Drosophila melanogaster: one gene and its partner. The gene in region 1 interacts genetically with each later gene. Each region holds a gene or a part of one and is shown on either strand. Other genes may lie near its edges.

The links.
Region 2: of Crk (region 1) and drpr, changing one enhances a phenotype caused by changing the other (phenotypic enhancement), as found in Drosophila melanogaster (one study listed by BioGRID).

What each region holds. Positions count from the first base shown.
Region 1 is NC_004353.4:208,289-213,787, forward strand, and holds Crk (Crk oncogene), read left to right. Parts: upstream 1-1,935; 5' UTR 1,936-2,074; exon of another isoform or gene 2,075-2,149; 5' UTR 2,150-2,166; coding exon 2,167-2,198; intron 2,199-2,269; coding exon 2,270-2,392; intron 2,393-3,301; coding exon 3,302-3,506; intron 3,507-3,565; coding exon 3,566-3,694; intron 3,695-3,826; coding exon of another isoform or gene 3,827-3,892; exon of another isoform or gene 3,893-3,986; intron 3,987-4,339; coding exon 4,340-4,441; intron 4,442-4,502; coding exon 4,503-4,727; 3' UTR 4,728-4,877; downstream 4,878-5,499. UniProt on the Drosophila melanogaster protein: Adapter protein which interacts with C-terminal portion of mbc, homolog of human DOCK180. May play a role in cellular processes throughout development.
Region 2 is NT_037436.4:1,727,941-1,733,161, forward strand, and holds the start of drpr (draper), read right to left. Parts: upstream 3,168-5,221; 5' UTR 2,585-3,167; intron 1-2,584. Other genes in the region: Oseg4 (outer segment 4), read right to left, coding at 3,388-3,580, 3,649-5,221. UniProt on the Drosophila melanogaster protein: Receptor which is involved in the phagocytosis of a variety of cells including apoptotic cells, severed and pruned axons, degenerating dendrites, salivary gland cells, germline cells and bacteria.

The DNA of each region.
Region 1 (5,499 bases):
GAGAGACAAATTAGAATTAAACATAAATATAAATGTGTAAACGGTAGCTAATTCGAGCGGCGATTTTAACAAACAAATTTAAAAAGCTTTAAAATTATAATATTCAGGGCGCGAATTTTTAAAAATTTTTTTATTTTATCATATTGCTAGGAAATTGGCAAAAACTACCCTAATATGTACCATGTAAATTCGTTTCTTCGATCAGAATTGATTTCGGCCCGAAAATCGTCTTCTAGCACAACACGCACACTTATACGCGTTCTCGTCTCTTGTTTTTACTCACACAAGCAAGCAAATTATATTTTTAGATTTCTTACGCTCTCAGCGGGAGTGAGCCGAAAGAGAGTAATTTTGGCCGTCACCAAAAAAGTGGCTGCATAGTGCCAAACCAATGTATGGCCGTTACGCATCTTGTTATTCTAGTGTCTTTGGTTTGGCACTATGCAGCCACTTTTTTGGTGACGGCCAAAATTGCTCTCTGTCCGCTAGCTTACGCTGAGAGCGTAAGAAATCTTAAAATAGAACTTGCTTGCTTGAGTAAGTAAAAACAAGAGACGAGAACGCGTATATGTGTGCGTGTTGTTCTAGAAGACGATTTCGGGCCGAAATCAATTCTGACCGAAGAAACGAGTTTACATATTTGATGAAATTGCGCGCTGTTAAAAATATCAAATTGAAATATAACAAAAAAAAAAAAAAAAAAAAAAACTGGAACTGAAAAACAACTAAATCTAATGTGCATTTTAAATAACAAAAATTTTACATACATCATATTAAGTCAAATGACTTGAGAAATATACTAAATATATACGGAAATTATTATAACAACTTTAATTTAAAACATACATTTTCCAAAAAGAAGACATTACATTGAGAAATAAATATTTCATAAAAATAATACGAAGTAGAAAACAAAAATATATAAAAATAAAAAAAATATGTAAACTGTTTATTGCAAAAGTCATATCATAGACACTAGAATTATTCTAGTGTCTTTGCTTTGGTCATATCTTGAGCATGCAAAGGAATGGCTATTACAATATAATTTGATTAGTATGCTACGCAAACCTCTAGCATTTTGATAGGAAAAAGATTCGGACAAAGATTCGTTGTCAGTTTTTTGAAGAAGATGAAGAGGCGGATGGTGCAGTGGTCTGGCCATGTGAGGAAAGTTTATTTCCCACGGGCCCCTTTTTCCTATTTTTGATCCTAGCTTCAAAATCTTATATATCTTATGTCCATAGCGTAAGATAAGTTAAATTTTTCCACTTTTATATTACTTTTATATTATCGACTTTTGTTTTGTCTTGCATATAAGACCATACATCAGATGATTTTTGATCAGGTGAAAACCGAGAAACGAAAGTTTGTTTCTTAAGTGGAATCACCGCGAGTGGTTTTGGCCCTGCAGATTGTATTTCTGAAGTGCCAACTTGTGCCGGGAGTCCGGACTCAATGTTCCCTTGTGGTGGTAAACTAATCGGGACAGGTAGAATCACTGGTTAAGAAACCAGTGCAGACAATTCGGAATCTTTAGCAATCCCAGGGTGGGCTCCCTCCACAGCGGATTGATCGGATTGCTCCAAATCTTATTTAGCTGCCGATCTTAGCAACATATGCGGATTTTCTACGATTGACAGCTGATCAGTTGTGGAGTCAAAATAACATGTCAACCAGATATATTCGTATTCCTAATATTCCTGTAAATATCCTTGAATTGAACAGAAGAACAAATATATCGGTTTTACTTAAAAATTAGAATATCAAATTGATATGCATTGATCACGGTTTTACATTTAGATTTTAAAAGCTGACAGTACGTCCTAAAGGGGTTTACCACCACAGAGCAGTTGCTCGAAGGAGTTCTTTTCAATCGAATGTGCCCTGTGCAAGTGCCGCATTACGGTTCTACGGTACAATATTGGCATAAAACTTCCAAGTGGAAATAATCGATCAAACATTATCGATAGTGTTTCTATGTGTGGCCCAGCCAGATACACATATAAAAGGCAAATGTTTTAAGGCCAGAAATTCGAAAATGAAATCACTGAAGAATTCTGGTATATAATAGGCTGTATGCTATATTTGCATTATATCACATAATTTCTATTTATTTAATCTGGACGGAATTTGTTGTAATTTGTCTAAGATAAACCTTAAACGGAAATGGATACATTTGACGTTTCTGATAGGAACAGGTAATTTAAGATCAAGTGAAGATTAAACCAAAAACTATCAATTGTTTTAACATCAAAATGTGTTCTTAAAGCTGGTACTTTGGTCCCATGTCTAGACAGGATGCTACTGAAGTTTTGATGAACGAACGCGAGCGGGGAGTGTTTTTAGTCCGTGATAGTAACTCGATAGCAGGGGATTATGTACTTTGTGTAAGGTAAGTAAACAAAATTAATACATTCAGACTTTGATTGTGTACTTATCGTTTCATTTCTGTTAGCTAATTTTTATTTTAAAAATTAAACTAAAAATTGTGTATAGTGAGAAATACTTAATGTCAGCCTTTCTTAATCGCAGCTTACCATAAAGGTTTATATAGAAATTCCTGTTTCCATTTTAAGCATGTATACGTGTTTTATAGATGTACTTTAAACATTTATCTGTAATTTTTAAATATAAACAAATTTCTTACATTAAAAAAGGATATTCTTTTTAATAGACCTGGGTGAAAAAAGTAATAAGAAAGAGAAATCTAAAAATTTTTATCAATTTTGTGTGTTTCAGTTTTGGGAAACCTTAAAAATTGTGTTTGTTTTATTATTTCTTTCCCAGAAAATTTTTGAAATTTCTCTTTCCCATTCAACTAGCTGAGTAACGGGTTCTCTCTTGTTTTGTTTGATATTTAGATCCAATGGCAAGGGTCTATGGTCAATTTTGTATTTCTTTAATTTAGTATGGAATGTACCTTTAAGGACGATGATAAAATGTCAATGATGATCTCTCATAGCCATTGCAATTTAGTATGTTTTTAATATGTGCGCCATGTATTGACGGGGTAAATAAATTGAAGAATTTAACGACGTAAACAAAAATAATTACGAATTAAAGGAACTCAATTTCTACTGTATGTCTCGCCACGCGGCATTTATTAAAGAATTAGATGAATAAACGTCTCAAGAATATTCTTTTTGATTTTAAAAGTTCTTTATTAATATAAATGTATATACATTAGAATATTAAAAATAGGTTTTCATATTTAAACTTGAAACAAATTTTTGTTTAGTTTTTAAGGATTTTGCGCCTGTTATAAAAGAATTGTTTACTTATAAAGATTTTTATTATTTAGAGAAGATACAAAAGTTAGCAACTACATCATTAACAAAGTTCAACAACAGGATCAAATCGTTTACCGCATTGGGGATCAGTCTTTTGACAATCTACCGAAACTCTTAACTTTTTACACTCTTCATTATTTGGATACAACCCCTTTAAAACGGCCTGCGTGTAGAAGGGTGGAAAAAGTAATAGGAAAGTTCGATTTCGTTGGCAGCGTGAGCATTTACACAATTATTCATTTTTGTAAGTAATTTAATTTTCTTATTTATCAAAGGATCAAGATGATTTACCTTTTCAAAGAGGTGAAGTTTTAACAATAGTTCGAAAAGACGAGGATCAATGGTGGACTGCGCGTAACTCCTCGGGGAAAATTGGTCAAATACCGGTTCCCTATATACAACAGGTGCGTTAAGCAAATATTTGGATTTGTTATCCTTTTTTGTAACGGGTAACCCGTTTTTAATTTCTTTGTTTCCTTATAACGCTGATGTTAAAATACTACACTTGAAATGAATGGTGAATTCGGTAAAACCAGTCGCGTCAATTTTTATGGAATGCAAATAAAACTTTCGATACGGCGACACTAACGCTAGGATATTAATAATGTAAAATCAGAAAGAAACCCGAAAACTAGTGAGACGTATAAGGGTCAATAATGTCAAAGAGTCGCCAGAAGTAAATATGTAAAAATATATGTATGTATGTAAAAAATGTAAATTGAGCTCTTTTCCCCACGCCTATTTTATGACTAGCGGGTATCTGATAGCCGAGAAACTTGTTCAGAAATAATTATTGAGTTCATGTAATAATACCCTTAAATTGTTGCGATTAGATTCTTTAAAGTCTGACTACAATCTCAATACATTATAAAATCCATTACAAAAACCATTTGCATTGAATTAAACTGACAATGGACAAGCTCCATTGCCTTCAATATATTCGTCCGCTTAAATAGAGAAGGCCAAATTGCGAACGACCTTTGATAAATAAGTTTGTTAAAGGCATTGATTTTTAAAAGTTAAATCATTTTCAAATTTGTTCTTTTCAGTATGACGATTATATGGATGAAGATGCTATTGATAAAAACGAACCTTCCATTTCGGGATCTAGCAATGTATTTGAAAGTACTCTTAAAAGGACAGATTTAAATGTAAGTGTTCCAAAAAAGTATTTAAAAAAAAAATAATGTTTTACATTTTAATTTATCGAAGCGAAAACTACCTGCATACGCCCGCGTAAAACAGTCAAGGGTCCCTAACGCATACGATAAGACTGCATTAAAATTGGAAATAGGTGACATTATTAAAGTCACTAAAACAAACATTAATGGGCAATGGGAGGGAGAATTAAATGGAAAAAATGGTCATTTTCCCTTCACGCACGTTGAATTTGTCGATGATTGTGATTTAAGCAAAAACTCCACAGAAATATGCTAAATAGGAAGGAATGGAAGGAATTTCTTTTGATAATTTTGATTTTTGAGCTAATTGTATGATTAATAAGTTGTGCATACCAATTGTTAACATAATCAGAAAATTAAAATCTTATTAAGTAAAATAAAAATAAACGGGTACGAAGGACATAATAAAATTTTTACCGTTTTTTCGTATGATTCTTATACAAAAAAATTATGAATTTGAAAATCGATTTGGTTTTTTTTATGAATTGTGTAACTAAACGGTAGGTGCTACAGAAAACCCTTTGGGCCTTATATTTTTTATACCCGTTACTCGTAGAGTAAAAGGGAATACTACAATAGGTTCGTTGAAAAGTATGTAACAGGTGGAAGAAAGCGCTTCTGACCATATAAAGGCTGTTCAATATACAAAGACCCCAAAAGCCGGATACATCTCCGAGTAACGCCAGAACGCCAGAAGTTTTTTTATCACCCGCAAAGAGGTCCTTATTTGGCCCTTCGACCACCTTCCAAAATTTGATATTTCCAAACGTCCATAATTCGAGGCTAACAGAACCTACCTCTAAGGCACCAACTCTACAAGCTGCCCAAACTAATTTGACGTCGAATCCTTAATCACCGACGCATCACCAACGCAGTATTAAAACTATGACATATACTTTGCAGCATCATATGATTTCATTCATGTCGTTCGTGTGGATTATCACGCAAGACCTATCTTCCTGGAACGTTAAAATAATGTGTATCTTTAGATCAATAGTTAGTTAGTGCTTCTCCTGATACCACGTTCC
Region 2 (5,221 bases), on another chromosome or scaffold:
AGCAAAGGTAATAGAAGATTGATTAGAAGTAAGTTGCGAGTCCGTTTCCGCTGGCAATCTGTCTATAATGTATACATATGTAGGTACTTATATATGACTAATTTCCTGATTTTCGATGAAAGCTTTCGAAAGAAAAAAACAAAACAAAAACAAACCAAAGAAAATCTGCGAAATACTTTCGGACTAAGGAGAAAGCTTTGTTGTTAAAAAAACTCAATGGCATTCGTCTATTTCATTCAATTAGAATGATATGTATTTTATAAAGTATAAGCATTGCCTATTTTCGTTCCAATTAAACCTCCATCAGAGCTAAGAGTAGGTCTTATATTCTTCAAGTTGTGTGTATATATTTTGTGATGTATTTTCAATTGATTCAGCACAGTGCATATGTAAACATCTGGATTTGACTTGGATTACTATAATCTTAAGCATAGGGGGAAAATGAGCCAGCTATTCCCCCAACTTCAAGTACTGCGCACTTGATAAAGGCTAAACAAAGATTGTCGCTTCCCGCTTTATATAAACAGAATTATTCTACAAAGGAGGAGCCCTCACTTGAGCTGTACTTTGGATAGCGAAATCAAAGTCGAGTTTACTGAATCCACAATACACATCTCCAATAACCGCAACGCATATGTTTGGCGTTCAGTGGGCAATTTAACGCCTTGGCGAGGCGACAAAGCACATTTGGCAAAAACGATTATTAAGAATAATAAACGATTTCAATGGCAAGAAATAGATTTGGTATAAAAACAAGTTGTTCTGGCCCAGGAAATGAAATTATTGAAAGAATATCAGTTTGCACGAGGTCTAGGGTCTTACATTTGTGAACTACGTAAATGCTAGGCCAATCAAAACTTTCAGTGAACAGTTTAATTAAAGCAAAGAGGCAAAGGGTTCTCAAACGTTATTATTTTGGGATGGATGTTAGCTGCCATTATGAAGTATCAGTGAGAAACAGTGATTTCAGCTGTTTCGTATTCATTTCACAAGTGAGCCAAACACTCAACACCTCAGTTTGTATTGGCCAATTAGCGGGCGAAGCTCGGATTTCTAGCCCGAATTTGGATAGAGCTAGAAGCTTTCTCGATTGATTCAGCGAAGAGAACCGATTTCAGCTGAAAACCAAGAAAACATGTGTATATTATTCTAGTGGAAAGGCACCCACACATTGCAATGCAGACAGACGAACAAGAATTAAGCATAATCATCAGCAAAAGCGAAATGCACTTGCAACAATACGGAGAAAGCAAAGAAAAATGTTGGATAATGCAAACCCAAAGCGAAAAGATAGAGAACAGAGAATGTCGTAATCATAAGGGGAAAACTAACATCCCGACTCATGGGTTGCTCTCTAACCACCGCCACATTGGACAAGAAATCCCAGGAGGTTTCATCCCAGCCACTCCCTGCCACTCCTCCACCCAGCATTATCAATAAAGCTGAGTAATCATGGCGACGACAAAGCCCGGCTCCATAAAGGAACCTAAACAGACATTGTGACATGTACGGCATGGTATGATATGATATGATACCGAGGGTGGGGAGAGTGCACCTCTGAGTGCCATTTCAGTTTTTAATTTTGCAATGGCTTGTGGGACTTTTCGCTGTGCATTGCATTTCGAAGCTCGTGTCCTAAGCAGGCGTCATTGTTCATTAAATCACGTATGATAATAAAAATCAAGTTCCATTGCCAGTGTCAGAAATATAAGGTTAAGCTTAAAATCGCTTGGTTAAGGAAACTGTGTGAAAAATAAAAATGCTTTGTATGGGAAATATGATCGCAGTTTATTCCATACTTATTTAATGAATTCTATAAAAAATAAGAACGGTTTCTACATATATCTTAATTTGTGTGCACCCCCATATTCAGAAGTAATATGAAATATCGCTGAACTGATACCTTAATCAGTACTCATAAAGAATTAAACGCAAAAAAATTTTTTGCGACTTGATCTAAATTATAAACGGCTATTATTGTTATTTATTTTCGTGACGATGCATCGACTGTATTTTAATGTGTGCGTTAGTTAGGCAATTTCGATGTGTGTGAGTTTATGCTGGCTGGGTTTTCATTTGATCCGTTGGCGTTGTTGTTGTTGCGGCTGTGACAGCTGGAAGCTTCAGCAGCAATCTGGAAACTGGAAAGAATCCACAAGATGCGGGTTTCCAGGGAGCGAGGTGCTGGTCGCAGGGGGTCGATGAAAGAGAAGTTTGCCGATTTGCTGCCAATTCCCCGAATGACAGATATAAAGATACATGCATGAGATACAAAGAAGAAGAAGTCGACGAAAGCGCAAAACTAAAGCCAAAGAAAGGCCATTAAATTGTGCGAAAGAGAAACCAGAACAGGTTTAACTGTTCTTGGTGTGCGCCCGATAAAAGCGCTAATTGACACGCACACAAGTGCACTACTGCGGTCATAAACAAACCGCTCGTTGGGAAAGAAGAAAGGTGGAAGGGAAAGAGAGCTGACAAAGCTAACCAGGCGAAATTGCACATTTAACAGAAGAAAACTTATTTTTAACAACATAACAATGACTAAAATTAACGTTAAACTGCCACGATTGGGGTTAAAACTCACCTTGGCAAGAAGCACGGTGTAAACTGGTTTTCGGTTCTCACTCAAAACAAACCAAGAATGCACTCGCAATCGAATTCCACTCAATTTACACGTTTACGAAACTTTGGCCATTAAAACCTCGAGAGGATTTGTATTTTTAAATGCTTACAGCACCTTACCACATATATATATAGCTATATATATAAATTTGCTATTGTTTTTACTTTCTCACCATCCACAAAAACTTGTTTTCGTTGTCGCTACTCTCTATTTTGGCACTCTACTCGCAACTGAGCTGATTTAGCAATTAAAATGCAACCTCTTTAAATAAAAACAATTACTTTTCGTGCACTCCACTAACGACAACAATAAGGACAAACGGGCGCGACGCACAACAACGCAATTCTTTAATGCACTTAAGTATTTTCGTCGGTCAATTGGAGCTCGTTTGGTTTTCGCAAGCACCGCAATTACTATTTACTTTATTTTATATTTGCGTACGCACACCACCGCACGAAGCAGAAATTTATTTAACTTATTTAAAATTCAGCAAGAAACGGACAACCGACTTACTTAGCTGCACTCGCCAGTGTGACCGCTTTGCGAGTGTTGGATGAGCTAGTAGTGTGGCCCTAGCGCACTCCCCAGGAAATACTCACTGTGAACAGTCACTCTTTCCACTTATAACACTTTTCACTTGAAAATAAATTTGAATTCTATCTTAAAACTACATTGTTTATTTGCGGAGTAGATACGCCTGTACCACCTGGGATAAGCAGAATGAAAAACAGCTGGAGTAATTAAAACACTAGTCCCCGCTCATTTCAGATCTCCACCGTCATGGACACGATCAAACTGTGGCACAGTGGGCAAGTTCGGTGCCTGGAGATCTCGGTGGGAGCTGCGCAGTGGTGGCAGGTGGTACAGATCCATATGTTGTTCGTCGGCTGGGTGATGGGTTTCCCGGAGGAGATGCACGCCGGGAAGCGAGCATTGCACTCGGGGCAGGAGGGGGAGCTGAAAGGATCGGCATTCCATGAGTATCATCATTATAATCCAGCTTCTGACGTCGACCCTTCACTTACCTATCTGGCACGGGCACTCCGCAGGAATAGCAATCCACCCTATCGCCAGTGGTGTCCTCCGGATCGTACTTGGCGAAGATCCCAGCCGCCAACTCCTCGTACCGTTGAAGGGTAGCCTCGGGAAGATGAGCCTGTTGCTCCAACTTCATGAAAGCCTTGGAGCAGGTTCCGAAGGCCCGATCCGCACAGCTGGCCAGTGCCAACAGGCTGTAGATGTGCTCTGGAGGCAGGACGTCCTCGTAGTCGCGCAGCCTCACCGCAGTGACCACCGCACTGTGGACGATCCCGAAGCGAAGCTGCCTCTGGGCTAGGAGCATGAAGTGGTAGGCCTCGGCGCAGTGCCAAAGCCTCTCGATGGCGGCCGCATCCTCCAGGGCAATGGAGTCCAGTAGGGTGTTCCTGCCGCTGGCGTAGTCGATCTCCGTCGTGGCCACAGCCTTGAGGTGCTCCTCGGCCAGCAGAGCAGCCAGCACGTACAGCTTCTTGATTCTCAGCAGCGGAGCACGCTTCTCTTGCTCCCGTTCCGCCATTTGAGAAAGCAGGCGAGCTGCATCTAGATGACGCCCAGCATTCCGCTGCATCTCGATGGCTTCCTTGAGGCGTCCCTCCTGGAGCAACTGTGCCGCGTGCTTGGCTATGAGCGTTTGCACCTGGGGCAGCTGGAACCTCTGGGCCAGCTCAACAGCCTCGCCCCACTGCCGGAGATTAACGCAGGTGGCGACGGCGGCCTTCTGGTCGCCGAATCGAAGATGGGCTTGAACAGCCTCGGAGCACATGCCCACGGAGGCCAGCATCTCGGCCAGCTTCGGAAGCAGCGGGCTCTTCTCCGGTAGCCGTTCCACGCACTTTTCCAAGTCGTCGAACTGCTCCAAGTGGTACAGAGCCTCCATGTAACCCTCCAGGTAGTGGGACTTCTCGTAGTATTCCCTGGCACTCTCCCAGGAGCGCAGGTTGGCGAAGTGGTGGCCAATCTCCCGCCAAGCGATCTCCATCTGCTGGTCCGACACTCCCGATCCTCCCATTCTGTACAGCTGCACCACGCGAAACCAATCGCAAAGGGTCATGCGCAGCTCTATGGCCAGATCGCGACGATCCGCGTCCAGGTAGAGCTTCTCCGCCTCCTCGAACTCTCCGTAGAAGGCTGATATCTCCGCCCTCTGCAGCTCCTTGGAGTGTATGGTGCGCAGTCTCTTGACCAACTTAATGCCCGGGTAGTGGGCACAACGGACAAAGGCGTTCTCCGCCGTCTCCAGTTCCAGTTTCTTCAACGCAGACTCCGCCAGCAGTCGCCAGAGCCTCGGATGCGGGTTGTCCTCAATGAACTGCTTGGCATCCTCCAGTCCCACGTGCTCCAGTAGATCGTCGGTATCGCGCAGGGACTTTACCCTCAGCTGAATGATATGCGAAAAATTCTGCAGCTCACCCACGCTGATTATGTCGTCCAGCAGGACACTGGTGATCTCCAAGTCCTCGAAGGTGCATATGTAGCCGGAGCAGGACACGGGCTCCTCGGGATCATTGCCCCGGAAGATATACATGCGCGTTTTCTCCATCAGAGCCAGCAGCAGTGGGT